Linked DNA regions of Ovis aries. The protein of the gene in region 3 interacts with the protein of the main gene of each other region in a biochemical or structural test. Links are inferred from orthologs where the notes say so. Each region holds a gene or a part of one and is shown on either strand. Other genes may lie near its edges. The genes, in order: KITLG, MPDZ, KIT, TEC and SH2B3.

Evidence for each region.
Region 1: the proteins of KIT (region 3) and KITLG form a complex in vitro, tested with the Homo sapiens proteins (3 studies listed by BioGRID and IntAct, with this or other methods). The link is inferred for Ovis aries from reciprocal best matches to the Homo sapiens genes KIT and KITLG.
Region 2: the proteins of KIT (region 3) and MPDZ form a complex in vitro, tested with the Homo sapiens proteins (2 studies listed by BioGRID and IntAct, with this or other methods). The link is inferred for Ovis aries from reciprocal best matches to the Homo sapiens genes KIT and MPDZ.
Region 4: the proteins of KIT (region 3) and TEC form a complex in vitro, tested with the Homo sapiens proteins (2 studies listed by BioGRID and IntAct, with this or other methods). The link is inferred for Ovis aries from reciprocal best matches to the Homo sapiens genes KIT and TEC.
Region 5: the proteins of KIT (region 3) and SH2B3 form a complex in vitro, tested with the Homo sapiens proteins (2 studies listed by BioGRID and IntAct, with this or other methods). The link is inferred for Ovis aries from reciprocal best matches to the Homo sapiens genes KIT and SH2B3.

What each region holds. Positions count from the first base shown.
Region 1 is NC_056056.1:124,865,179-124,869,836, forward strand, and holds the start of KITLG (kit ligand), read right to left. Parts: upstream 3,016-4,658; 5' UTR 2,824-3,015; coding exon 2,809-2,823; intron 1-2,808. UniProt on the Homo sapiens protein: Ligand for the receptor-type protein-tyrosine kinase KIT. Plays an essential role in the regulation of cell survival and proliferation, hematopoiesis, stem cell maintenance, gametogenesis, mast cell development, migration and function, and in melanogenesis.
Region 2 is NC_056055.1:81,785,729-81,790,260, reverse strand, and holds the start of MPDZ (multiple PDZ domain protein), read left to right. Parts: upstream 1-1,493; 5' UTR 1,494-1,753; intron 1,754-1,875; exon of another isoform or gene 1,876-2,461; intron 2,462-4,532. UniProt on the Homo sapiens protein: Member of the NMDAR signaling complex that may play a role in control of AMPAR potentiation and synaptic plasticity in excitatory synapses. Promotes clustering of HT2RC at the cell surface.
Region 3 is NC_056059.1:70,895,429-70,900,072, forward strand, and holds the start of KIT (mast/stem cell growth factor receptor Kit), read left to right. Parts: upstream 1-1,763; 5' UTR 1,764-4,644. UniProt on the Homo sapiens protein: Tyrosine-protein kinase that acts as a cell-surface receptor for the cytokine KITLG/SCF and plays an essential role in the regulation of cell survival and proliferation, hematopoiesis, stem cell maintenance, gametogenesis, mast cell development, migration and function, and in melanogenesis.
Region 4 is NC_056059.1:67,509,934-67,513,812, reverse strand, and holds part of TEC (tyrosine-protein kinase Tec), read left to right. Parts: intron 1-2,362; coding exon 2,363-2,481; intron 2,482-2,564; coding exon 2,565-2,722; intron 2,723-3,879.
Region 5 is NC_056070.1:55,165,928-55,170,553, forward strand, and holds the start of SH2B3 (SH2B adapter protein 3), read left to right. Parts: upstream 1-1,809; 5' UTR 1,810-2,161; intron 2,162-4,318; exon of another isoform or gene 4,319-4,626. UniProt on the Homo sapiens protein: Links T-cell receptor activation signal to phospholipase C-gamma-1, GRB2 and phosphatidylinositol 3-kinase.

The DNA.
Region 1 (4,658 bases), on a different chromosome or scaffold from region 3:
AGTACAACATCAAAAAACATGGCATCAGCCCTGTTAAACTAATAGCATTTTTCTAATTGGTCTTTCAAATTAATATGTCCAATTGTTATTATATGCTGAATATAGATGTTCTAAGCCAGAGAGACACAATTCTCTTCAGAAACCGTAAAACCACACAATAAGGATAAAATACATTCAGAAATCTGAAAAATGCAAACCACTTTCATTTCTGTAGACGTGATTAAAACTTAACCGTTCAAATTGCTCCTCACGACTCCTGCCGTGTAATTATTGCCCATCTGCTGGTCCATCACATGTGCTAAATAAATGAAAGAATCGTTTTTTCACACCCCAAGTGGTTGTTGGTGGAATTTCCACATTTATTTAGCTTGACTATTAGGCTAGAATGTGTCTTACAGCCTGGTGTCCCTGTGATTCTTGGAGAGCTGCATAATTCAAGTATATTAATTTATCATTCTATATCTTGGGTAATGGAAGGGTACACAACTGTTTGCTTTATTACAGAACTTGAAATTGATTCCATCTTTATAAATGACTATTTCAACTACTGAATATTAATAGCTATTCCACCCTTTCGAGTATAACATTAGATTCACTGGAACGATTGATCTCATCTCTTAATGCCAGATTACCTTATGCTACTTTCCCTCCATACAGAGTTGCACTAGAAAATTTCTTTGTAACTTTTGGATTAGAAAAGCTAACAATATGAATGAGGACCTACGCACCCTCCCCCATTTCCACTGATTACTTCATTGATTCCATGTTATTTCCAGGGTCTCCTTCTTCAGTGGCAAGAATGTGGAATTGCTAGAAGTATCCTTAAAGGAAACCTTGAAGGTCATTAGATCCCAGGCAATGAATGCCTTCATTCACCAAGGGCACTGCCCTCCTTTGCCTCCAGCCCTTCAGCATCAGCAAGTTCCCCCAAAGGGCTTGCACTTTTACTCAGCCTGAGCAGGTCACATTTCTAAAATACTTGCCTGTCTCCAACGTCCCTGGTCAGCAGTACTGATTCACTGCCACCAAGGAGTTTCAGGCTAGTTCGACCTCTTTCTAGTTTTCAATGGAATTATTCCATGTAATCCGATTTACACAGCCATTTAATCAAAGTGAGAGAGGAGATTACAGAGCTCACCGTTTGTTTTGCAAAGCAAGCAAGGGTGCAAGGATCATCAATCCTACCGAATCTAACTTGACTTGATAGTACCGTCCCATACGCCACCCCCCACCCCCCACCTTTGGATTGTTGGTCATTAACCTGATCTGTCTCCAGAGATCTTGTTTAAATAGGAAGGTTTAGGCTGTTTTCCTGAACCGGAAGGTAGCGGGGTTCTCCACCCAGATCTCACTACTGCCATTCATGTGAGCAGATGCTACTGTAACAAAGAATTGGTTCCCCGCCCATGCTTATTAATTTCACACAGCAGAAAGCATGTATAAGTCAAGCAATTACTTTAAAACTTCTGTTGCCAGTCTTCCATATTTGCATTTCAACAGCCCGCTGCGGTGATCCCAGGTGCTCTGCCTATAAACTAACCTGCTGGCAAGAAAGAAACCTGCGCTGCGCTCCTTTCCTCCGCCTTGGGCAGCTGCCCTAGAGATTACACAAACCTTTCTGCCAGGCCAAGTCCCAGACCCCTGCTCTTTTCCACACAGTGTAATGGGCTCGGGTCTTCCTACTTGCTTCTGAATGCGTTGGTACCCTTCCCAGATCTAGACGTTTATTGAAAATGTGACACAGTGTGTCATTAAATACAGCATTTTCAAGATTCTAAACTGAAGACGTATACAATCTTTTCACCCGCCACTTCCACCCCCTCGACACGTGTCAAGAATTGCAATCTCCAACAGAACCTCTGGGGGGTGAGAGGGCAGCCTCACCTAACCCGCAGCAGATAACACAGAAAAATTCCTAATGGGAGAAAGTAGAGGTGAGAGCTGGCGAAAAGAACTGTGAATGGGAGTGCCCCTCCGGCCCTTTATCAAGGACAAGCCAGAGATATCTGCTGCGAGGAAAGAAAAGGAAAAAAAAAAAAAAAAAAAACTAATTGTACCCCTAGACGGTGCCCTACCCTCTGTGCTTCTTGTGCATAATGCAAATTTTGCAGCACCGGGAATTACCTCCGTAACTACCACCAGAGGTGCCCATTAAAATACGCACGCGCGCACACTTATACAACTTTTTCTCTTCTGTAATGGAAAAAAGTGGGTGCAATGTGGAGGTATTACCCTATCTAGAGCTCGCCTAGAGCCGCAAACCTGGCAGACGCCGTGGGAGCCAAGTTTCCCCCGGCCGGTGGGGCAGGTTCTCCACCCAGCTGAGCGCGGCGAATAAGGACCTCGGGGTTGACTCGGACCAGAGTCCACACGAGCCCGGCACCCACACCGGAGCCACACAAAAATCTGAGTACGCGAGTGACCGAGCGTGGCGCGTGGGGAACTGTTGTGTAATCTTCCCGAAATCCACGGGAAAATGTCTCCCGTGCAAGGACGTGCCTTTCTGGAATAACTTCAACTCTCCGGCCAAAGAACAGATCCTTCTGTCTAACAGGAATTGAGGCTCCCGACTGACAGCTCCCAACTTACGGCTCCAAACTTGACACCCGCTCATCCTTCCCACTCCTCTCCAGGCTCACCCAAGCCGGGCGGCTGGGGCTCGCGCGCCTCTCCTGCCTCCCCCACACCCTCCAGGCCCGTCCGGCAGGCACAGCCCCGCACGCCGGGGCAGCTGGGGCCGGAACGCGCCGGCCTCCGGGCACGGTTTTTCTTGGAGAGCTGGCGAGCTCCCCGGCGCGCCCTACTTACTTGTGTCTTCTTCATAAGGAAAGGCAGCGCTGTGATCCAGCCCAAGCAGCGGTGTGGCAACTCCGTTTAGCTGTTCTGGAGCTCCAGCATACTGCATGAGCAGCGGCTGCAGATAGTCCACGCATTGAGCCCGAGCGCAACGCCCGCTCCACTGCCAGTGCTTGCCGCGGCGATCCCTGTCCCGGCGCGAGACGGTGAGCGAAGCCCGGGCCGGCGCGCCGCCAGCAGTTTTATACGGCTCCCGCCCGCCTACTCCGGACACGCCTCCTTCCCTTCCGGAGCCCCGGGGAAGCAAGCCTGGGCTGGGGCAGGGGGCAGGGGCGCAAACCCTGGAGGGCGGCTGGAGCGCCAGAAGTTGGACAGATCAAGCGAAGCGCGTTCCAGCGCTGGGGGGCTGGTGCGCGCAAGGCTGGGAGACCACTGGGGCGCGGGGGCGCCGAGGACGAAGGTGAACACGCTGCAGCCGCCACTCGCTCTGCGCCCCGGGCGCGGAGAGTCTCTGATCTGCCTCTTAGCCTGGCACGGCCGGGGACTCACGAGAAACCTTGAGCTTGGGCGACGGCTGGTAGTTTCTTCTCTACTGCAGAGGCGGGGCTGGAGGGGTCACTCGGGGCCTAGCGAAGAATTCACCTCGTCCTGCTTTAGGGAAAAATATGTTTAAAGCTTAATTAGGATCTATATAGTTAGGCCGTTGTCCCACTCCAATTTTTTTAAACAATTACTTTAGTGAATGGATATTTAATCATTGAAATGATTGTTGACTCAGAGTTGAATGTTGCTAAGGGCGATGCTGTTTCCAGAGTGATTTATGGCTGCTGCTTTAGAAATTAAGACGAAACGAGAAGCGGTAGGTAACAGGCAGGCCACAGAACCAGGCACTTTTGAAACTTGTACTTTCTGTTGTTGGAGAAGGTTTTGGAGTCAGATAATGCAACAACAATAATAACTAAAACCATTGTGCGATGCACTTAATTACATGCCAGGCGCTGTGCCTGTAAAGCGTTAGTACTTTACAGCGATTATCTCACTTAGATCCTCTCCACAAATCTATTATTTAGGTCTTGTCACTTTTATTTCCATTTTATAGTTGATGAAACAGAATTAGGTCAACTTTCCCAAATCACAGCTAGTAAATGGCAGAACTTAACTTGAATCCAGAGTCCTGGCTATATAGCTTTCAAAAATGTTTAAAACAATTATTGACTCTCTAAAGCCCCATTATATTTGTTCTTATTTCAGACCACTAAAAAGCATTTTATTAATTCTTTGAAGAAAGTATGTACTAGAGATTAATGTCAATAATCTATAAGAAAAATATTATGTAAATTTAGGAATTAGGTATTTTAATGAGTAGGATTCCAAATTAATTAATTCAGTGAGCCTTTTTAGAGAAATGAATATGCCAAACTTATAATCATGAAAAACAAGAAACTAGGTAAAATTTGAAGCTCATAGTATTAGTTTTCCATCACTGCTGTGACAAATAACAAAAACTTACTCACTTTAAACAACACATATTTATTATCTTACAGTGTGGAGGTCAAAAGTCCAAAATGGATCTCCCAGGGCTAAATGTTGACAGGGCTATGTTCCTTATAGAAGCTCTAGAGGAGAATTCCTTTTCTTGCTTGTCCAGGGTTCTAGAAGTAATCCAGAGTTTTTGGCTCACAGATATTTTCTTCTTCAGAATCAGTTACGGGTGAGTGGAGTCTTCATATCACCCACTCTGGCCTTCCCTTCTGCCTCCTTCTTCCACTTGGAAGGACCTTGTGTACATTAGGCTCACCTGAATAATCCAGGGTATGCTCCCTAAATCATCTGATTAGCATCGTTAATTCTGTCTGCAATCT
Region 2 (4,532 bases), on a different chromosome or scaffold from region 3:
TGAATATCCATATACTATGAAGAAATCTAGTCAGTATTTTTCTTTCACTGGTGGGAAAAACTAGGCGGATTCATGTTTATAAAAGCACAAGGGTGCTTGGGCTGAGGATACTCCATCCAGGGCACTGAGGTCACTTTACTCAATTCCTAGTCATTTGCAGGCAAATGTTTCATTTTGTAGCTTTCTGAAAATATCCATTTAAAAACTCAAACCAATTTCCCCTTGAAGTCTTGTCTATCTTATAACCTATTTCCCCTCAAATAGTTGGTGAATATTGTAGAAATATATACAAATCGCTTTTAAAAGACAAATCAAAACTTACAATTCTGCCAAGGAAAAATAGATCTTTAATTCAGGATATTAAATACATTCTTTAAACATTTTAATTGGGCTTCTGCGTATCCTTTGATGTATGCCCTAATGTTACACTTATGTATTGAAAAGGGAGCAATTTTCTTTCCCAGACAAGATTCCTGGGACTCATGAATCGAGGATTTCAGAAAGATAATCTTAATCGGCACAAGATAGAAATAAACATGCTTTTTCTGGCACCTTGTAATTCTGAAGCCTTCTTACATTTTTTCCTTTGTGTCTTTTAGTTCGATTATTGTCAAAAAATGGACACTGATGCGCTAAAAGTTACTTTTTTACAAAGTGAGATTAGCGCCCAGGCGTCCTCATTAAAGTGCTTCTCATCACTTTAACAAGCAGAGAGAGACAGACTGTGACAGAGTGTGAGGGAGAGAGAGAGTGTGTGTTAGTCGCTCAGTCGTGTCCACCTCTTTGTGACCCCATGGACTGTAGTCAGTCCATGGAATTCTCCAAGCAAGAATACTGGAGTGGGTGGCCCTTTCCCTTGGGATTCAAAAGAAAAAAAAAAAAAGAGGTTCTCAGAAATAAGTTCCCAAAGGTTGCCAGATTCAGCAAATAAAATCAAGGCTGCTCAGTTAAATCCGAATTTCAGATAAACAGTTTTTTAGTGTATAGAAAGTGAAAGTGAAGTTGCTCAGTCGTGTCCGACTCTTTGCGACCCCCTGGACTGCAGCCTACTAGGTTCCTCCGTCCATGGGATTTTCCAGGAAAGACTACTGGAGTGGGTTGCCATTTCTTTCTCCAGGAGAACTTCCCGACCTAGGGATTGAACCCAGGTCTCTCGCATTGTAGGCAGATGCTTTATCATCTGAACCACCAGGGAAGTGTATAAGAATTTGGTGTAGAAGAATATCCCAAATATTGCATGGGGCAGACTTGTCCAAATGAACGCTTCTTTTTTTAAAATTTGACACTGGAATTAAACGGGGCTTCTCCCCAACAACCTCGCGTAGCCCACTCCCCACACCCCAGCCGAGCGCCCGCCGAGCTGGTTTAAACCCCGGGCCGGCCGGCTGGGCCGCGCCCCCTGATTGGCCGAGGCGCGCCCGCCGCCCCGCCGGCCGCAGGCGTCACGCAGCCCGGGCGGCCCGAGCCTCGCCGCCGCCAACGCCGCCGCCTCCGCGGCAGCCCCGGTTGGCGCAAGTGCGGCGCACGCAGCGGGAGGGGGCGACGGAGGCTGAAGCTGGCTTCGGGCCGCCGGTGCTCGGGCGGGATTAAGTTTCTCGGTCGCGCGGGAGCGTCTGTGCGCGTTCATTCCGAAGCTCCTCGCCGGGCCGTTACTCCGCGACAGAGGAGAGCAAGCGTGGGCGAGGCGAGGCTCCCCGCGTCCCCACCCCCCGCCCCTTTAGCGTTCCCGCCGAGGGCGGCCGTCGCGAGCCGGGTAAGCGGCGCCGGGGCCCGGGCCGGGAGGCCGGAGCGCGCCCCCGCGGCCTGCGCGCGCCCCGGCTGGGAAGGTGCGCGGGTGCCGGGGGCTGGGCGCTCGGCGCGGGCGGCGGGAGGGGTGAGCTTGCCCCACCCCGCGCTACCGAGAAGTCGCTGCTTCTTTGGCTCTTGAAAAGAATGGGAGTCTGGAAGTTTCCTTTGCGACTCGCCGGGTTCCCGAGCGGTCGTCCTGGTTCTTTAATCCACTTCCCTCCTCTTCTGCTCTTGTTGACTCTTAAGAGGCTGAAAAGTTTCATCTTTTCGTTCGCCTGGAAGGGCATAGTAAGGGTGGCAGGGAGGGGAGCCCCGGGCCTGGCACGGGCGCCTGTTGCTGTTGGCCGCGCCTCAGCCCGGACGCCCACTCGATTGCTCCGCGAGGGTCGGCAGGGATGGGGATGCGCCCCTAGACTGGCGATCCTCGCCTCGGCTGCAGCGGGGCACCCAGAACGGGCGGCTCACTGGTACCCGCCCCCACTTCTCACCCCTCCCCCTAGCGCCCGTGCCCTTAACATCTCGTGTCCGCGTTGGTGGGAGCATTTTTCTCTCGCCTCCCCCCCTCTGCTCTCCCCCCCCCCCACCCAGCCCGCGCCAGTGGGGCGCCTTTGTCTGCAATTTCGCAGCCTCAGGATGCCGGATGTTTCTAGGGAAGCGCTTCTCTGAATACGCTGTGCGTGTATGTGTGTGTGTTTGTTTCACCGGTGGTGATGGTGTAAATTCTTGCTTGCGTTCTTACAGAGGCACAAAGGCTGGGCTATTCTTTCCTGTAGATCGCGTGGAAATTCAAGCTGGGACTGCGGAGAGGAGGAGGGGCCGTGCGAAGGCCGGAGGTGGCCGCCGCTCCTCAGTGTCCGCGGGCGAGTCGAGGGTGGCGGGACGTCTGCCTCCATCTCCGCGGCTGGGGGTGCTGAGGTCGCTCTGCTAGGGCAGAACCTGGGTATGGGCGCTATGTGCCTTGGGCGAAATGGGAGCGGGTGGCAGCTAATGTTTCAGAGATACCAGATGAGAGGACCTTACTTTCACCAGCCTAGAAGGAAACCTCTCCAAGTTCTTTTGATGTCGAGAGGGGAATAATCTGAAAAGTGGCCAAACTTGTCATCCAGCTTTGTTGGACAGCCATGGTGTAAACACTCCTTTTCTCTGGACATTTCTCATTTAGGTTGCCTGTTAAGAATAAATAACATCTAGTGTGAAAAACTTACAAGGTGATGCAGTGGGCTTTCAGGGTTACATGTACGTTTGGGTATAGGTGACTAAAGTGAACTTTATCTAAGAATTGCATCATCTAAATTTGCTTAATACTTGCTTTAGCCCTTGGTAGAATTAGGCAGTTGAATTAAAAAAAAAACCCCAAAACTTGAAGTTCCTTGGCTAGAGTTCTAATGCAATGCAAAGCTCAAGGTGACTGCACCTGCACCCTTGCCTGAGGGAGGGGCTGGAAGCTTTGGAGGGTGGTGGAGATAATTTTGTCTGGGATGCCCAGATTTCCTGCTTGCTAATGGGCTAGTTTATAAATGGGCGACATTTATCTAGACTGGGCTGTACTGCACACTCTGCTCCTCACAGTTGACAGGAAAATCCTTAAAAGCAGAGATATGTAAACTTAAGAGCCATGGGCCAAATATTCTGCCGCAGCCTGGTTTTTTCCCCTGAAGTTTAAGAGCTTTGGATGGTTTGTACACTTTTAAATGGTCGAAAAACGCAATCAAAAGAATAACACTTCATGACGTGAAAATTACATGAAAATCAAATTTCAGTGCCCATAAAGTTTAATTGGAGCACAGCCGCACTCATTCCTTTTGTCCGTGGTGCATTCTTACTCTTGGTATCTGGTTTCACAGAAGCAGTGACATAGTTGATTGGTTGCATAGTTGAGATAGAGATGGATAGCCTTCAGAGTCCCAAAAGTTTACTGTCTTACTCTACAGAAAAAGTTGCCAATCAAGATCAGGCTTCAGAAGTATTGCTTACATACTCCCTCTTGTGATGAGTGTATTGTTTAATTTCATTGCCTTTTAAGTCCTGTTTCTGGTATCCTAGGAAATGGCAGACTGTTCCCCAGTAGTTGGGCAAGTTAATGTGCTGGATTTTCTCATTTCCACGTTTCACTCTCAAAAAGTTTTCTTAACCTTTTGGCATCTTTCTTTTTTAGAATCTAGCCTAAAGTGGGGTTTCTGATTAGCAGAAACTATATATTTAGTTATCTTATGTTTAATATAGATAGCTATATCTCAAGGTGCTCTGCAGTGAGTTCTGGTGACATCTAGTTACTCTGCTACCTGAGCAGTTTTGATAACTATATTTTTGTTTATTTATGTAGAGAGAAGCAGAGGTTAGGGGGTGTCATAAGTTCCTTTCCACAGGCAAATTGTCACCTACGCAAAGGTAGTTTGGGGGGCTCCTTGACTCATCAGCGCTTGTCTTGCCTACCTTATTTGTAAAACAAACAAAAAATCGATGTTTATCTCAATGTTTTACTACTAGATTGCTCACATGTAATAACCTTCCCTCCCATTTCCTTGGCTCTTTTCAGTATTTCTTTTCCCTTCACTTGTTTCTGGTTTCCTTTCTTCCTTTAACACACTGCTTCATTGTAGTGCCTGAGCCCAGTGGTGGTTGTTGCTGGGGAAGGGAGAGGCGGAAGTCAGGTTTTGTTGTGTTCCAAATTTCTGGCATGTAGGCAGTGCCCTGTTTCGTCCCTGCAGTCCTCTTTGCATGTCAGGTAACTTTTGAATGCATAA
Region 3 (4,644 bases):
GTGCCCTTTTCCTTTCTTATTTATGCTTTTTGAGATCAGGGACTGTCTCCTAGGTCCAGCACTTACCAGGATAGCTGGAATGAATATTTTCTGAATAGATCCTGGAGTTCCTAGCCCCCAGCCATCATTCACTCTATTAGTTGGTCCTCAGAATGGTGGGTTTTGCCATCTGTCATATTTGGGGGACTCATTAATTAACATATTCAGGAAACAGAAAATAACTCAAGTGTTTTTATTAGTCAAACATCATTAGGGAAGTACATTTCAAACACAAAAAGTCCTGACATAGATAAAACCTCATTCAGCAAATGTCTGTTGAGAACTTGCTATATACAGATACATTTCAAAATGTATGATTCCAGAGCAGTTTCAAAGCTCAGTTGGACTAATTTATTGATATTGACTTTTAAATATAAAGGTATGTATGTGTATATATATATATATGTCTGTGTTTTTACACATACAGACACACATACTGTGTGTTTGTATGTATGTGTGTGGGTGTGTGTATATATATATATATACATATATATATATTTAACATGAACCTCTAATCTTTGTGTGTGTGTATGTGTAAGAGAGAGAACATTATAACAGCACTCAAGATAGTTTGGAGAAAAGAGAATAAATAATATCCGCAGCCACATTCTAGTATATGCTCAAGTTTGTGGGTTGAACTTACATTTTATTTTGAAAAGAAAACCCTGAATGCCTCTGGTGGTGACTGTTTTAAAAATTTATTCTTTTAACTCTGAAAGCAAAGTGTAAGCTGCTGCTGCTGCTAAGTCGCTTCAGTCGTGTCCGACTCTATGTGACCCCATAGACGGCAGCCTACCAGGCTCCCCCGTCCCTGGGATTCTCCAGGCAAGAACACTGGAGTGGGTTGCCATTTCCTTCTCCAATGTGTGAAAGTGAAGTTGCTCAGTTGTATCCAACTCTTCGTGACAACATGGACTGCAGCCTACCAGGCTCCTCCGTCCATGGGATTTTCCAGGCTACTGGAGTGGGTTGCCATTACCTTCTCCAAAAGTGTAAGCTAGTGATCTCAAATTTGGAACCTTTTCTTTTGGTGGTACCTATGGTAATTTTAATGGATGAATCAAGCCATTACTTTTTCTTAGTAGAGCAGCAGAATAGACATTGTTCTCCTTTGGAGAAGAGGTCAGTAGACTGTTGACATCTGTTACTGGGGCTAGGTGTTTCAGAACCTGTCCTTCCTCCAATCTTTTATATGGTCAGTGATTGAAGGGCACTTTTGTGTAACTGTGCTGGGGTGGAGAGGGAGTGGGATTTGTGATCCTTGTTCTGAGGGCCCTAATACCCCAGAGTAGGCAGAGGTAAGGTCTAGATGTAGACCACTGTTGTACATCAGAAGCCAAATGGGTGATGGAGCTGAAGGTTTTGGAGAGTTTAGTGGGAACAGGTGATCGTGACCTGGAATAGTTAGAGAGCAAACAATATCCATGAAGATTGGGCTTTCTTCTTGATAAGGAGGCAAAATGATGGAGTAGTTATGTCCTGGGTGCATGGACAGAGAGGTGGGCATAGCATGGAATGAAGAGCGTTCACAGGATCCTTAGGCTAAAAGGATTGGAGAAGCAGGTTGGGTCCAGAGGAAACAGCTAGAAATTAACACCATGAGAGTGCTCTGTAAGCTGTGCATAATGTCAGCGTTAGCTGCTGCTTGCCTCTGTTAGGGTTTTTGAGGCTGGTGTTGGGGCTGTTGAAAAAGTGTTTTAGGCTGACGGATCTCAGGGTTATGAGGCAGGATGATTTGGGGGTGGGGTAAGTGGAGGCTGGAGACATGGAGATCTTTCAGGAAAGGATTTTCTTTCTGGACATTGTAAATAACGTCTGGGATCAGCGCAGCAGGAGTGGAGAGACGTACAGGGATGTGTGACAGGCTCTAGGGAATGACTGGTATGATTTATTGCCAAGGAGGGAGAAGTCAGGCAGAAATCTGGGAAATGATGGGCCCAGTTACTTCCATAGGAAATGTCAGGACTGATTGGAGGGAAGATGAGACTGTTTCTAGAGTAATCGTGTCTTGTACATATTACGTGTTTTCTGCATGCCTGAGGACAGTTCTGGGTGCTTTCCATAACAGCTTTATGAATTAGGTGCTGTTACTGTCCCCACTTTCCAGATGAGGAAACCAAGGTAGAGATGCTTGGTAACTTTCTTAAGGATCACACGCTTGCATTCTGGCAGATGCAAATCTGGACAGTCATATCTCTAAATGTGATGGTACTGAGGGAAGTAAGTTAGATGGATAAACAACAAGGTCCTACTGTATAGCGCAGGGAACTATATTCAGTATTCTGTGATAAACAATAATGGAAAAGTGTAAGAAAAAGAATATATATATATAACCAAATCACTTTGTTTATAGTAGAAATTAACACATAATTGTAAATCAACTATACTTCAATTAAAAAAAAATTAGAACCCTCAAAAAATAAAGAGAGTCAAGTTCTTACCTAGGATGCCTTACTGCTTTCACTATAGTAACTAAGTGAAGAAAGAAATACTGCGGCACACTCCAGTATTCTTGCCTGGGAAATCCCGTGGACAGAGGACCCTGGTGGTCATTTCCTTCTCCAGGACATCTTCCCAGCCCAAGGACTGAACTTGCATCTCCTGCATTGGCAGCTGTGTTCTTTACCCCCGAGCCACCATGGAAGCCCAGAATGAAATATATTTGCAGTATAAATTCTTAAGAATTTTTGAATTAAATTGAAAGTACTTCATTTTTAAAGGAGATAACTACTTGAAAAACCAGCATCTTCACTTACCACTGTGCCCATTTTCATTATTTAACAGTCTGTATGACTAAAAATCACCCCAACTACTTTATTTCCATAGTCTGGTTCCACCATTTAGAGCTTCAGTCTGGGGACACACACAGTCTGGGCCATAGCACTTCTCTTACTCTTGGTGCTCGGTAACATGTGATGACTAATTCACCTTATTGTTCATGACTCAAGGCTGCCCAGAATCTTCTGATCTGGGGTGTACTTTGCATGACGTCATGGGGCTATAATTGATGGCATGGTTGGAAGGCACTCAGATGAAATACTTGTCTGGATAACTAAACTGAGACTGGTGATTTATACACACCTTCAGGGGACAACTTCAGCCATTCTGTAGAGCACTTTTGGGCTGTCCCTCTCTGTGGATTCTGTTCCTGCTATCCTCAGATGTCAGCATGCCTCCTATTTTTTTTTTTTTTTTTGATAAACTTATAACCTTTTAACTGCTACTGAAATTTTAACTACAGATCTATTTCTGTGCTTTCTCCTGCCATAGTTCTCCAGGAAGAGGTCTACACTTGCAGGCTTAACCTTGAAGCCAACAGAAATTCCCACTCAACTGAAATTGGATTTCCTGTGGTGTCTTCCTAACCAGATCTGGGGACCTGTGTTCGCTCCCTTTGATCTTGCTCAGCATCTGCCCTGGGACCCATCCACCTTCTCTTGGAAACCTTTTGATGTGTTGCCTCCCTTGTCTATTTTAGCCTCTCCCCCTCCTTTCTGATGGTCCCATTAAAAGAAAAAAATCTGTCTTGGCTCTTTCCTACCCACTCTTAGCTGGAAAAACTCTGCGACCAGTACTCATTGTGTCCCTCTTTTTTTTTTTACAAAACCGTTTCCTTGGATTATTTGATCCTGTCTTATAACTTCACAGGTACTGCTCTTTCCCCACCATCTGAATTTCACATCATCAGGTGAGAAGTCCACCTGCTGGCCAGGTATAGCACCTGGGAGCAGGTGTCCCGCTTCTCTCATCTCTGTCCCTTTCTTACCATCTGAATTGGTGGTGGGAAGTCCACCTGCTGGCCAGGTGTAGCACCTGGGAGCAGGTGTCCCGCTTCTCCCATCTCTGCCCCTTTCTCACCTTTTCTCCATCCCTGCCCTGAACATGTGCAGAGGCTCCTGCTGTGGCTTCCTCTGGCCGCCCCTGCCTCCCACTGGCCCCTGCCGCCCACCCGCTGCTTCCTCCACTGGCTTGGATGGCTTTTGCTGCTCCTTCAGAACCCACATCAGTTCTTGTCTCTGACCTTGTATGTGTGGAGGGGAGCTTGTGCCTCTCCAAGGCACATGAACCATTTCCCCCATGATCCTGCAGAAGTGGCTGAAAGCCCCCCAGGGAGCTCTGTTATCCTGGTGCCCTCGCCCCCCTCGCCCGGATTGTACGTGAGTCAACCTTTTGTGTTTTTCATGGCGCCGTCACCACTAGTGTGCTCTTTCTCTGGCCGCCTCACATCGTCCTCTTGTCTAAATCCTTAACTGTCAGTTCTGTGGCTTCTGCTGGCCTGAGGGCCAGAACTTTTCACTGATCTCCTTGAGTCTAGTTGACCTCGGGTATCTCACTGTGCACGAGTGTCTCTGGTGTCTGTCTGTGGTATCTGTCTGTCTGCTCTTTCTCCTCTTCTGATACTGTGGAAATCCAGCCCACTTCTTTCTCTGTAGCCTGAAGCTGTCTTGAATCTATGTTTCATTATTCTGACATTGAACGCTGTGTACTTTAAGCTCTGGAGTGTAAGGACTTTGTGTCCCTTCTACGTGGATTTTCTCCCAGCATCTAACACAGTGCTTTTGCAGCTCATAAGTAATGAACAGATACTTACCTCCATGCAACGGA
Region 4 (3,879 bases), about 3.4 Mb from region 3:
CAGCTTTCTTTTCTCCCTGGTGAGGATTAAATTTCTAGAATCTTTTGTTTTGATAGAAATGTGTTTGGGGTACAGTTTTTAGAATAACCAAATCGGTAGTGTTTTTATTCTCCTAATTTTTAAAATTTTAGTAGTGTGTTATAAAAGACCTTTAAAAAGTATTTCATTTGTCCTTTCTTTCCCTCCTTCCTTCTTTTCATTCATTCATCTGTACGTGTGTGAGTCCTAAGTCACTTCAGTCCTGTCCGACTCTTTGCGACCCTGTGGACTGGAGCCTTCCAAGCTCCTCTGTCCATGGAATTCTCCAGGCATCTGTACCTCCATCCATAAAAAAATTAGGTGCCTGTGCTGCGCTAGGCACAACATTAGAGATTGAAGCCTAGCAGAGGCTAAGACATTCGAGTCCCTGCCCATGTGCAGCTTTAATTCAGGAGGAGAGAGAAGCATAAGACCTCAGAAGCACTAAGAGGGGGAAACAACAGAGTGAGGTACCAGCACGGGGGTTCGCAAATATCAGCCTCCGGGCCACATCTGACCTGACACCTCTGTTTGTACAACCTGAGCCACCCACGGTGTTCACATTTTTTAATGGTCTGAAGAAAACTTAAAAAAATGTTATGACATGTGAAAATGATCTGAAAGTCCAATATCAGTGTCCATAAATATGATATTATTAGGACATAGACTCGTCTGACTGCTTTCTCTCGACAAAGGCCTGCAAACCTGAAATATTCATGATCTGGCCTTTTACAGAAAACATTCGCCAACCCTTGTGATAGTGATAAGCTGGGGTTCGTGGGGTGGTGGGTGCTGAGTGATGTGTGGGGTGGGGTGATGGTTACTTTTTTAGGTCTGTTGCTCTGGAAGGCTCTTTGAGACCAGGATATTTGGAAAGGGACTCAAAAGGTAGGCAGTAGTCAATTAGGTGAAAAATCTGACTGTAAAATAATCCAGGTGGTAAGAAACAGCGAGTGCAAAAATTTGAAATTAGGGATGAGTTTGGCCTGCTCAGGAGTCAAAAGAGGGTCAGGGTGGTTGGCCCACGGCCAGCGTGAGGAACGGTTATAAAGCAGGCAAAGCCAGGTCATACAGCCAGGTCTCTCTCCTAAGGAAATTCAAGCCAAGGGAGGTTTGAAAGCCATTACTGTCAGAAATGGGACCAGAACTGCCGACTCTCAGGAAGTAATGACCCAGTGCTCTTTGTTTTCATTCTGTGAAGACATTCTGTATCTGCCAGGAAGATCTCCAATTTCATGCTTGATTTTCGTATATGTCAGTCTTTCAGAAAAACCTGTGCTTTTGCATCAGTCCCTCTAAAACAGTGGTCCCCAACCTTTTTGGCACCAGGGACTACTTTCATGAAAGGAAATTTTCCCATGGACCCGGGGTGGGGGATGGTTTCAGGATGATTCAAGCACATTATATTTATTGTGCATTTTATTTCTATTAGTATTACATCAATTCCAGCTCAGATCATCAGGCATTAGATCTTAGAGGTTGGGAATCCCTGCTTCTAAAACACTCATTCCACACTCAACTCAAACTCTGCTGACAGGCACCCATGGTGGCATTGTCACCATCTTTGTCTATACAGCAAGGGAAGTTTGTGCAAGTATTTGAATTTTCCCATGGAGCTTGTATAAGTTAACTTCATATGTCCCTGTACTACATAAACACCTTCCTCTTGCAAATACATACTGAACACATTATAAAAAGGGCTGAAGAACCCAGGTTTACCATCCCAATTAAGGATCCTCCCCAGGGGTAACTGGTGTTACCAGCTTGTGTGTGTCTTCCCGGAAGGACATAAGTGTACTCCCACAGAAGAATTACATGCTATTGTTTTGAGTGTGTATGTATAGAGGAGGGATGTTGTGGTATATACACCACAGTGTACAGACATCATTTTGCTCTTCTTATTTGCTATAGTTTTAAGTGGTGCTCTGTGGAATCATGGGGGCAAAAGCACATGTTCCAGGCTCTTTGCACCACTTCCTTAGAGCAGCTCTGCTTTAGATGTTTTATAAATGCAGCCTTTGGGTAGAACTTGGTTTATAGGACAAAATTGCTTATTTAAAAAAAAGGTTGCAAGCTTTTATTGTGTGCTGCCTCCACTGCCTTATAAAAAAGAAAAACATAAAAGTGAAAGTGCAGATAGAATGTTACAGCGTTTCCATCTCAAGCACCCAGAGGAAGACAACAATCGCAGAGGCGTGGCTGCAGAGGCAAGCAGCTTCAACCGGATGCTTGTTGGACTTCAATCAACTGTGTTTTGATTCTGGGGTGGGTGGCGGGGGTGGGGGTAAGGGGGTATTAAAGAACCTGTCCAAAATAGAGATCATAACTCACTGTCTTACCCCAGGTATGTCCTGGATGATCAGTACACGAGTTCTTCTGGTGCTAAATTTCCTGTGAAGTGGTGTCCACCTGAGGTGTTTAATTACAGCCGCTTTAGCAGCAAATCAGATGTCTGGTCATTTGGTAAGACTCGAGCTCCACTTCCCCTCAACTCTGCCCTAAAGAGGAAGTGGGTGCATTGTTTGGCAATCCTTCTCGTCTTCCAGGTGTCTTAATGTGGGAAGTATTCACTGAAGGCAGAATGCCCTTTGAGAAAAACACCAACTATGAAGTGGTAACCATGGTTACCCGCGGCCACCGACTGCACCAGCCAAAGTTGGCCTCCAGATATGTATACGAGGTGATGCTGAGATGTTGGCAGGAGGTATTACATTTTTGGGGTGCTTTCTTCCTCAGTCTCTAAAGCATTCAGGGATCTGGGCTTGGTAGATTTTAATTTAATGTGTGGTCATTATAGCCTAGTGCATGCTTTACATGATTTCAGACTCTTAAGTAGGAAGCTGCTCTTCTCAACTCGGTCTGAGTAACAGGAAGAAGATGTGAAGATGAGGAAAACACTAATAATAAGATAGTCAATTCAGGCTGCCCCTTCCCTCCCAAGTGGGCATCCTGCCGTGGTTGCCTGAGTTGGGGACTCTGGGAACAAACCTGGAGAAGTAGCTCTTCTTTCAGTGGCCCTCTTGTGTTATGGAAATATATACTCTTTCACCAGAGAGGATTTCTTTCTCCAAGCCTCAAATTCCTCAGGTCTCTTTACTCGTAGTCTTTGGAAGCTTTCCTTCTCCATGTGTTGAAATGTTACCTCATAGAAGAGACTGGCTTCCCTGGTGGCTCAGTGGTGAAGAATCTCCCTGCTAATGCAGGAGACGTGGGTTTGATCCCTGGGTCGGGAAGATCCCTTGGAGAAGGAGATGAGAACCCACTCTAGTGTTCTTGCCTGAAGAATCCCATGGAGAGAAGCCTGGCAGGCTCCAGTCCATGGGGTCACAAGAGTCGGACCTGACTGACAGTTAAACAACAACGACAGAGATTAGACACGAAAGTGACTTTTGGAAGAAAGTCGCTTCAGTCGTGTCCGACTCTGTGCGACCCCATAGACAGCAGCCCACCAGGCTCCCCCGTCCCTGGGATGCTCCAGGCAAGAACACTGGAGTGGGTTGCCATTTCCTCCTCCAATGCATGAAAGTGAAAAGTGAAAGTGAAGTCGCTCAGTCGTGTCTGACTCCTAGCGACCCCATGGACGGCAGCCTACCAGGCTCCTCCATCCATGGGATTTTCCAGGCAAGAGTGCTGGAGTGGGGTGCCATTGCCTTCTCCAACACTAACATTAGTTCACAAGTATTACGTGATAGGCACTGTGCTAAGTGCTTTCGGTTAGTCCTCAAAGTAACCCTGTGAAGTTTGGATACATTGACCACGGTGTGGATGGGGATACCATGTTAATGCCTGCCCAAGGCCACTTTGCCGTAGAGAAACAGAGTCCTGTCCAACTCCAAAGCCCATGCCCTCAGTCACTTGCTA
Region 5 (4,626 bases), on a different chromosome or scaffold from region 3:
GTGGTCTCATTCCAAATATTAGTTCCTTACTATTCTTGTCTGGAGAATCCCAGGGACAGAGGAGCCTAGTGGGCTGCCAACTATGGAGTCACACAGAGTTGGACATGACTGAAGTGACTTAGCAGCAGAAGGTCCTCCAAGCGTCCAGTCTCAGAGAGCCTGGGAAGCACTCTCCATCCTGTTACTGTTCTGTCATCTTCATAATACATTATCCCACTTTCTATTTATTCGTGTTCTACATCCCCTCACCAGAATGTCAGCTGAGGACAAGGGATTCCCATGAAGGCAGGGATATTTGTCTGTCTCATTCAGTGCTGTGTCCCCAGCACTCTGAACAATGCCTGACATACATATTTATGGAAAGCACATGTCTGTGGCCAGTTCCTTCAAGGTTATTGAACTCTAAGGATCCTACAGCAGACAGGCCCCCTTCCGCCATCTGGTGAAATCTGGAAATCCCCATCTTCTGGGGGAACCCCTTCCTGTAGCACCAACGGCAGGACTCAGGCCTGATTGTTGAACAAACACTAGCAGTGTTTCCCCTTGGGCAAAGCCCCTTGCTAAGTACTTTAATGCATTAACTCATTTAATCCTCAAAACAACCCTGGGTTATGGGTACTCTTATTATTTCCATTTCATAGATGAGGAAATTGAGGTGTGGAGAAGTGAAGTCATTTGCCCAAGCTTAGTAAGAGGGGGAGGCAGGGGAATGGAAGAGTGTGTTGTCTGGAAAGAGTCCATGTGGCCCCTGCAAACTGGGGGTGTGAGCGACTTGTTTCCTGTTGTGGGAGGGAGAGAAGAGCAGACATTCCTCTCTCCCCTCCTTCCCTGTGTTAGAGGAAGGGCTGGCTGGGTGTGTGCTCCCCTTCAGGCTAGTGCGGACCCCACTGTGAACCTCACCCCACCTTTGGCTCAAATAAAATGAAAGTAGCCCCGGGGAGAGCAGAGAGGGAGGCCCAGAGGCCATGGGAGCCAGCGATTCAGGAAGGCTTCCTGGAGAAGGATGCCCTCCTGGAGTTGGGAAATGGATGGGCCCATAGAGGCCCGTCTCCAGGGCCACTGGTTACGACAGGGGTAGAGCTGAGGGTGGCGCTATGGGGGGTCGGCTCAGTAGAGTTACGGATAGTCGGGGCTGGGCGGGGTTGGGATCCTTCCCCGGGTGATGATGAAAGCTGCGGTCGCTATTGCACTGACCGGCCCGGCGCGCGCAGATAAGGCCCGGCAGGAGGGAGTCGGCAGGAGGCAGTCGGCAGGAGGCAGTCGGCAGGAGGCAGTCGGCAGGAGGCAGTCGGCAGGAGGCAGTCGGCAGGAGGCAGTCGGCAGGAGGCAGTCGGCAGGGTCGCGCCCCCTCGAGGCCAGGAGCCTTGGCCTGGCCCCGCCTTCAGACCCCGCCTTTTCTTCATCCGACCCCGCCCCCACAGCGTGGAGGCTCCCGAGGTGGTCGCTGACGCTCCCTGGGTGGGGCCAGGATTGCCCCGCCCCTCCTGCCGTTCGTTCCCTACTTTAGGCTGTGCGATACGCCGTCGGGTGGGCGAGCTGTGGGCGTGGTTTCACAAGGGCCCGCCTCTCCGGGCTTGCGATTGAGACCCCAGGACTCGGTCAGTTGCGGAGAAATCGGGCTGGTGGGCGGGGCATGGACCAGCCCCGCCCCTCGAGCCCTGTTTTTCCCGCCCCCCTCCGCCTTCGGCCGAGTCCGGCTCGCGGGCGGGCCGGGGGCGGGGCTTCGCGCGGCCCGGCCCCTCCCCGGCCCCGCCCCTCTTGTAGCCGCCCTCCCCCGCCGGGATCTGCTAGCACAGCCGGTTCCTCTTTACATAACGGCGAGGGGCGGCATGGGCTCGGGCCACCGCCTCCGCCCGGCCGCCCGCCCGGACTGTCGCGGCCCGCGGTGGCGACGTCGGAGACAGCAAAGTTTCCCCGGTGCCGGCCCGGAGGCGCATCCTCCCGCAACTGTCAAGCGCTGGCGGCGGAAATGATGAGGCGCTGGCCATTTTCCGAGCCCGGGTTTCCTGCCTGAGCCCCGCTCGAGCGAGCCGCGAGCCAGGAGCCGGCGCGCGGGAGAGAACGCGCCCGGGGCGGGGGCCCGCCCGCCCCCTCGGGATTTCGGGGGGCCGGGGGCGCGCGACGCCATGGGCCGGCCGGGCCCGGACCCCCTCTCTCTCAGGTAAGCACGCCTTTCCCAGTGCTCCCCTCCTCCGGGGCTGGGACGGCTTCAATGGGGGACGGGGAGGCCCCGTGTCCCGTTCTGCCCAGTGTCTGCGCACTCCCGCAACTGCCTAAAATATTGTCCTGCTGCTCACTCAGGTGGGGGTATTCAGGGGTGACCGTTCCCCAGCTCCTGCGACACCCACACACGTGTTGGGGATGTAGTGGGGGTAGCTGAGGCAGTGGGGGAGGCGCTGGGAGAGGGTTTGGCTAATACTCCCAGCTGCCTCTTACTGTAGCCTAGCCAGTCAGTTTGTGCCTAGAGAGGAGGGGCTGGGGGTCACTGCTTTGGTACCTTGAAAGTGAAAGTAGTCAAATTGAGCCCGTGAGAATGGAAGCGTCCTCTTGGAGTGGGGCACAGGCCTCTCCCTACTCTCCCAGGCCAGGCCATGTGGCTAAGAGGATAGCACTCAGCACCCCCCACCCCCAGCATTCCAGAAACCCCTCTCCCCATTCTCTGCCTTAGGGAGGTGGGGTGGCCCAGGCGCCCCCATGCTGCAGAATCAGTGGGTTCAAAAGGGTTAGGGCTTTCAGAGCTCAATTCTCTTTGGACTGGTACCTTCCCACCCTGGACATGGGGCTGCAGGGGAATCCTTCCACCCCAAAATAAACAGGGACACAAGTCATTGGCCTAATAGGTCAGCAGGGCTGAAAGGTATTTCAGAGGCCCTTAATGCCTGGTGCAGAAATCCCCTCCCTTCCCTCATTCGGTTCCTGGGGGTTTTTGGGACAGTGGGACTGCATTTGAGGAACTGGGGAGGGGGGCCTGCCTGCCATTCCACTTTTTTTCCTTGAGTTTCCTCATTCTCCTGTTTCTCTTCCCCATTCCCGGGGCCACAATGATGTAGGTAAGGAGTTCACTGCCTGCAGCTGGAGGCCTCCATCGAGGGGAATGGCCAGGCCGGACTGAGTGGGAGGAAGTGAAATTGGGCTCCAGGAGGGGGGTTTCTGAACAGAGGGCCTGGCAAAACGAAGTCTGGATGGCCAAGAACCAGCTTTGGGAGCAGGAGGGGCGGAGATCTGCCCTGGGAGATGAGCTTCCTCCGACACCCAGTAGCTGCCCTGCTCAGCTGGGGCAGCCAGTCCGTTCCCATTTACAGTCCAATCCCTAGGGCCCCTGCCAGGGCGGTGGGCACATGCATCTCCAGAGTTGTGGGTGCGAGCTGTGTCTGAATTTCCCATCACTGACCTGGCTGCCAGAACGGAAACAGCCCTGGAGGCCCCCTGGGGCCCAGAGACCCAGCTGTAGGAGGGGGAAAGCGGACTGAGACCCTTTGTCAGGCTGGGGTCAGCAGATGAGAGGCCAGGGCCCGTTGGGGAAGTTGGATGGGTTTTTAATACAGTTTTTCTGAGCTTTTTCCCACAACCCCCCTCTGGGAGGGAAAATCCTTTGGAGCCAAAGGGTGAACATTCCTAGAACTCGTGTGAGTCTCTGTGGGCCATGGAGGAGCCAGCTGGGAAGGGGCTGGACTAAAGAATCAGCTTCTGGCGTCTGAGTTCCTTCAGGGGCTCAGCAGTGACAGAGGAGGGTCGTGGAAGCTTAGGTTCCCTACCCCCACTGCTTTTTCCCAGCCGAGGGCATGGGCAAGTGACACTTGTAAGACTTGGTTTCCCCCTGTGTGAAATGAGGTAATAATAGGTTTGTGGTAGGCATATAATGAGCCTGGCATGGAAAGGTTCAATTACAGGTGGTGGTGATTTTCCTCATTACCATCATTAGTGTTATTGTTACTGGCTGTGGAATGTTTGTTCATCAGCATCCCTTGAGCACCACCTGCGCGAGCAGCTCTGGGGTTTCCTGAGTTCTGGGAGGAGAATTCTGGAGTTCCTGGACAGGGTGAGATGTTGGTGAATCCCGGCTCTGTGGCCCCACCTCAGTTTCTTTATCTGTCAAATGGGTGTGATATTAGTACCTACTTCTTTAGGGTCACTGGAACCATAAATGAGTGAATTCATGAAGTGTTTAGAATGGCTTGGTCAGGAGGAAGAATAGTAATAAGGAAGAGATTGTTGTTATCTTGCTGTGTGTGCCTTGTTTTTCTTCTCCTTCCCTTCCGCCCTTCTTTTGAATCCTGGGCTTGATCCTTCTCCATTAAAGGGAACTTCTAACACAAATTCGTACCTGTAGAACTACTGCAATACAGCAGAAGCCTGGGCCGGGAGGAGCTGGGGGGCCCTGCCGGGGTTCAGCCTGTAGGCGCCATTGGGTGTCTGGGTCCGGCTGTGCCGCCTCCTGGACAGAGCTTCCTTGGGGGCAGAGGGGGCGGTGATGGAGGCACTTGGAGGGACCTTCCAGCTGCCCTTCTCCCGCACTGCCCACCCTGAGTAGGAGAGACAGAGCACATAGGGCACTCAGTGCTGGCCTTGGCACTCAATTAATAATGGACACTGTTGTTGTTATTGTTATTCAAATGAGAGGACTTC